2 linked regions of the Solanum lycopersicum genome follow. The protein of the gene in region 2 interacts with the protein of the main gene of each other region in a biochemical or structural test. Links are inferred from orthologs where the notes say so. Each region holds a gene or a part of one and is shown on either strand. Other genes may lie near its edges.

What was found.
Region 1: the proteins of homeobox-leucine zipper protein REVOLUTA (region 2) and DTM form a complex in vitro, tested with the Arabidopsis thaliana proteins (2 studies listed by BioGRID). The link is inferred for Solanum lycopersicum from reciprocal best matches to the Arabidopsis thaliana genes REV and ZPR3.

Annotation. Positions count from the first base shown.
Region 1 is NC_090808.1:3,533,563-3,537,146, reverse strand, and holds DTM (protein LITTLE ZIPPER 3), read right to left. Parts: upstream 2,219-3,584; 5' UTR 2,121-2,218; exon of another isoform or gene 2,066-2,120; intron 1,998-2,065; exon of another isoform or gene 1,979-1,997; intron 1,662-1,978; exon of another isoform or gene 1,530-1,661; intron 1,323-1,529; 5' UTR 1,319-1,322; coding exon 1,052-1,318; 3' UTR 717-1,051; downstream 1-716. UniProt on the Arabidopsis thaliana protein: Competitive inhibitor of the HD-ZIPIII transcription factors in shoot apical meristem (SAM) development. Acts by forming non-functional heterodimers. Part of a negative feedback loop. Involved in SAM development and lateral organ patterning.
Region 2 is NC_090810.1:59,494,237-59,496,801, reverse strand, and holds the end of homeobox-leucine zipper protein REVOLUTA, read right to left. Parts: intron 2,559-2,565; coding exon 2,424-2,558; intron 2,328-2,423; coding exon 1,993-2,327; intron 1,724-1,992; coding exon 1,618-1,723; intron 1,350-1,617; coding exon 1,200-1,349; intron 1,048-1,199; coding exon 895-1,047; 3' UTR 669-894; downstream 1-668. Other genes in the region: CASP-like protein 5A2, read left to right, coding at 1-93. UniProt on the Arabidopsis thaliana protein: Probable transcription factor involved in the regulation of interfascicular fiber (cortical cells) and secondary xylem differentiation in the inflorescence stems. Required for lateral shoot meristems (LSMs) and flower meristems (FMs) initiation.

The sequences.
Region 1 (3,584 bases), on a different chromosome or scaffold from region 2:
AGCACCTCTAATTTTAAATTATAGTAATTAGAACGCGGATCATGATCTTATACGTAAATCAAACTCTACCTCAACTCCTGCTAATTTATAGAAAATAGTTGATAAATGAGGAAATTACTCTTTATTAACTACAAACAAATGGATTAATATCAACTATCACTCTTTTGATAATTGATTTATAATGTTAGCAAAAAACTTCAAGACAGCTAGCCAAGAAAGGCCTCTGTTTTTTTTTTTAAAACTAATTTTAAAATTCATTCATTATATTTCTATTTTCAAGTAAATTATGCAAAATAATATGTTGTGAATCAAAAGATCACATTTTTGTTTCTTTCATCTTATGCTAACATTATTTATTCCTATATTTTTTTTAATTAAAAGACAAACACTAAGAATTACAGTTAATGAATTACAATTGGCCAATATCATCACTCTTTTTTAGTAAGAAAAAAAAATTAATTGTTAGCTTTGATGGTAGATTTTTGAATCAGATTAATCTTCAAATATCTGTTTAAACATAAATTTTTAAAAGTTTCATGTTTAATCTTCAAAGTTTTATGTTTAGACATACTAATATTGGGTCGATTTTTGAAATAATATTTTATTTTACTCACAAAATTCAAATTTTTGCCATAACAAATATATTCCGAAACAGAATTTTGAATTTAAGCACAATAAAATGAAACAAAAAATGATAATTAAAGAGAGAAACTATATAAAGGAACCATATTTTATATTTCTTTTATATATATAGCTAATAGATTTGCTTACAACTTCTTGGCTCCAAAACAGAACTAACCCCACATACTAAAACAAAATATTTAAACACAGACAAAAAAAAAACCCCATATATTCCTTAATTCCTCTAAACCTATATAACTAAAAAAAAAAAAACACCAACAACCATAACTTCCTACTTTTTTTTTGACCCCCTTACTATAATACTAATAATATTTAACACCCCCAAAATAAATTTTTTTTTTAAAAAGAAGTAACATAATATTAGTTCAATGACTAGATTGGACCCCTTCAAATAATTTTTTTTTTGTTTTCACTTTTTCTTGGATTTTGATGAAGCATTCTTGGATGAAGAACAATTTGTGAGATTAAGATCAGGAATTGAATTGTTTTTTCCTCCACCATTGTTGTTGTTATTATTATTGTTGTTGCTAGGACCAGCTTGTGATAACCTATGTTTTAGTTCACTCAAAAGTTGTTGATTTTCTTGATTCAATAACTCTGCCTTTTTCCTTAGCCTTTCATTTTCAGCCATTATGTAGCAATTTTGCAAGTAGAGCTTTGAGTTAATTCTGTCCATTTTCCTGCAAAAAATTTAAAAAAATAAAAAAATCATGAGTATGTTGTTCGGAGTCTTGAAAAAATGTACGACGAAAGTTTTGAAGAATCTGACATTGTATCGAATATTAAGGAATTTGATACATGTGTGACAAAATGTTTAAAGGGTACATGATACTTAACTAACATGTTATAACAAAGTTATAAAAACTATTGAATCATTTATGATTTACCTACAAAGAAGAGCTTGAGAAAAATGGGGGGGAAAAAAAAGAAAAGGAAATGATGATATGCATAGGGAGGGAATTAATGAGAATGTGTAAAAGAAAGTATAGTAGGAGAAATCATTACAATTGCAAAGAAAAACAAATGATCAAAAATTTAGAAAAAATAAAAAAAATTGTAACAACAAAAAAAGCAAATAGAATAAGGAAAAACAAAATCTCCAAATCTTCACACTTTCAAGAATTGGTACTTTTTTTTTTTCTTATTGTTTACCTCACTTGGAAGACAAGAATATATAAAGTATATAACAAGAGACAAACTTCTTATTTACACACACAAAGAAAAAAAAAAGAAAAAAAAAAGGGGGGGGGGGGGGGGAATTTATTATATTCCCAAGTTGAACATGCAATGAAATTTAAAAAAAAAAAAAAGTTTCAAGAAGACATAAAAACATGACCTTTTGACAATTTTAGTTTATGTGAGGAGACAAAAGGAATAAGAAAGTTTTCAAAAGTTGTAAACTTTAAAAGAGAAAAAAATGTACCAATTTTTGTGGTTGTGGGGTGGGGTGGATTCTTGATTTTTTCAAAAAAGATTACCTTTTGGTTAGTTATAGAACAAGAAGTATAGTAGCTAGAAGAAGAAAGAAGATTTTGTTTGGTGAGTTTATCACTTACAACAAACAACAACTTATACTTCTTGGGCAGTAAAAACAAGAGATATATATAGTGGAAAAAGTTAAGTAAATCTTTGGGGGTGGGGTGGGGGTGGGGTGGGGGGGGGACAAAGCTTTTTGTATCTCTTTTTCTATCTGCACAACAATCATGCATGTGTAAGCATGGAAGGCGGCTTGTGTATAATTGTATATAGTTGTTGTATCTATAGGCAAGGACTTCAAACCACCTTCTTTCATTCTACTATGGTAATGATTACGGACTCACGGATTCAGAATTTGAAATTTATGAATTATTATGGTAATTTTAACTTTTATATATCACATTTTACGTATTTTTTTAGTTTATAATCGTAAGATTTAATTTTGTTTTTTTTCATATTATATCAAATCAAAATCAGAAAAATAAATTGAAACAGATGAATTTGTAAGTTGCACAAGGTTTAGGAGAGTTATTGAGTTTCCTTAGTTATAACTAAGTCATTTTTCGAGTTCTGTAATAGAATTTTTTCTTTTTGGATTTTGAATTATACATGTAAAACTCAATGACATTCTTGAAATTTTATTTTGAAAATGACTATTTTATGGTGATAAGATTGGAAGTAATTGTTAAATGTTTTTTTTTTGTTCTGATGTATAACTCGTAGGTTGAACTCTAAATCTGTCATGAATAGTGATTGATTTTAAATTTTAATAAAATGTACATATTATTTTTATAATTAAAATATTTATTAAAATTTACTGATATTATCGATGTATATAACTTAAATTGAGATATTATCCATATATTGGAAAGGATTTAACCTTGTTCCATTCTACTATGATGATGATTATAGTGTTTTTTTTAGACTAAAGTGATGGAGTCAATTGAATGATTATAGTTAAAGGGCATTTGAGTTTTTTTATAAAAGACAATAAGGGTATTTTTGTCATTTCATATAGAGATTTGGGCCTTAATATGGGCATTTTGGGCAATTCAAAAGTGTGTCCAATGATGATAGGGGTTTGGCCTTCCAAAGATTCGCAATGATGTTTTGGATTGGTTCGAACCAAGACAGGCCCATCATCACATCCACACCCCTACCCCCCTTTTACCCCCCACCCCCTCTAACCATGATTAAATTTTTAATTTTTAATTTTTTCTATTTTACATAATTCTTCTTTTGTCCTCTTTATAGAAATTTCATCTAAAACATTCATTGTATTAACTTAGACTCATTTGCCATTTAAAAAAAAATTAATCGATATTTGATATTCATATCAGATCTGATTATGTATGAAAAGTATTATGATATATTAGGAGTAAAGCTCCATTTTAATGTAGTTTCATATTGGATATTTGAACGGAAAATATTTAATTAATTAAAATGATGAAATGTTTATCTAATTG
Region 2 (2,565 bases):
GAGTTCGAGACTGCTACTGCCATGGCTTTTCTTAGCTGGTTCTGTGCTTTGCCATCATTTCTCTTAAACTTTTGGTCACTTGCATCCAGGTGAAGAAAGGCTCTCAAGGAATTAGAAACGACGCCAAAATATCTTGTAAAAGTACTGCCTTTTGTTTTGATGTTGTAAAATTTTGTCTAGATAATCAATGTCCCAGAAAAACATGCAATTGCTACTGCAGTGTGTAAATACTGATTGCGTAAAGCAGGTTAATGTGGGTAATTGAGCTGTGCTCTAACTCTGTTGCTGGATATAAAGGATTGCACATAAATTGTTTGATACTGAAAATGCCATCATTTAGCCATTCTTCCTAGCATATTTCACTTGGTACCTCTCCGTCTTAATTTACGTAACACTATTTTGATTAAGCTTAGAGATAGTGAATCACTGTGACTAACCAGAGATATGAGCTATATAAATTTTGACAATAGGTATATGTAATGTTAAATCTACAGTACATGTAAAGGTGATCGAGTTGGTTGAACATGAACGAATACCACTACATGCTTTCTAAATCAAGCTTGATAACTTGATTTATCCAAAGGGATAGCGGTTGTGAGTTACCTTGTATAAATAATAAACTTTCTGAACTAGAAAAAAGGAAAAATATAACATTCAGAAACAAGCAATTTCACTCGAAAAAAAACAAAAACAAAACTGCACTAAAAAGATTTACACAAGAGTATCAAGAAATCAAGAAATGAAATACACCTTCCAGTCTAATTAAATTAATGCAGAAGAAACTGGGAATTTTACATATTACAAAAAATTTCGTTTGTCCCCTCATTCAACTGTGTTCCTGGCTATCAGTATTCTGTGAGAAAGGTCGAAAAAGAAAAAAAAAATATGATAGCATTACACGAATGACCAGTTGATAAACGAAAAGGCCAAACAGTGGACAGCATTTTCTTCAGACGATGCAAACACTTTCCACGCGATAGCTTGTTCATATGAAATATGTCGTCCCATTGTTGACATGCAGATACCACCAGGCAAACACGCGAAACCCTGTGCTCAAGAAACAACAGTGGGAAAAAAGAAGTAGTCAAGACGAAAACAGCCTCAACTTTGGTCTTTTGGCTCTGCAATAGCCCGTGGATCAAACCATTATACTAGATGACATCAGAATAGCCAACAGAATGTCAAGAGTAGCTAATTACCTGTTCCATAATCTTGGCAAATTCTGAGAGCAACACTTTCCTTCCGGATTCATCAAATATCTTATCTAGAGAAATGTCCTGTAATGCAACTAATGTTGTCTCCAGCATGTCGAGTCCGGCCTTATTAGCAAAAATGAAAACTGGCAGCGACTGCAACAACAGAGAGAACATCATCAACTTACTGACACGTTCTTGTAAAAAGATAAAAGACTAGAAACGTGACGAGAATATTTAATGTGGGGAAGTCAAAAAAATGTCTGGAACACTAATGAGGACAATTAAACGCCAATCAGATAAGTTCTCCTTTATGTATATGTTCAGGCTTCATAGCAACAATAACATACAGCATTTCTTAATTACAATTTCGTTATATCCACACGAGTTCATAAATAAATTCTGTAGCAAAAGAACTTCATACCTTCAATGAGCAGCACAAAATTGCATCCTGGTGTTGCCAGAGATTCTTTAGTACTGATTCATCGCCACTAGAATCAGCTCGAAGTAACTCTGTTCCCATGTGATAACTGGAGATAAAATGCAAAAGAAAATGGAATGTTAACAATCCGACAAGCACTTCTAATGTCTTATCCCAATAAGTTGAGAAAAAAAAAATTCTCAAATAATCGACAGTATCTCACTCTTACTGAAAATCAGAGATGCAGTAAGCCAAAACTAGCAAGCATGATCATGCACATGAAAAGCAAAACGTTGCGCAGAACAGAAGGGAACAAGTGTCACCATGATCAAGAAATCATCAAGGCTCACAAGACTATTACAGTTGTGAGGACCTTACCTATAGCTCTGGCAGATCCAATGCGACAATGTTACAGCTTCTGGTGAGCCTGGAGAAAGCTTGGCCCCCAGTGTAGGATTCATTCCCGTAGGAGATATTGCCATGGCAACTCGTTGGACAGACGAAACCACACTGCGAACATACTGTCGGGCCATGGTAGCCACATTGTCCTGAAGATTGTCCTCAAATGGAAATTGGAAAGCGATTGTCAGTACAGATCGTGCACTGTAACAAGAAGCTGCATCTCCAGTAGTCGAGTTTGTTGCTGGGCCCACTTCAAGACTTGATGCTAGATCTAATGTTCTATGTGCGTTCAACGTATCCTGGGCATCACCCTGAGTAATAAAATCAGAAGTCATGCTGTAATGTAAATGTTCAACTCAGCTCATTCTCTAAATTCAATGGAGTTGTGGATGAATAATTTACTCAACTGATTTTGATTCGAGAGGAATAATGCGAAATCCGGAGGGAAGCAAAGGTGCATCATCAGGAAACATCTCATCAATAGGGGCAAAAACTAGTTCAGAACAGGCTCCAACTGCATTCTCATCAGTGCCACTACACATCTGGAAA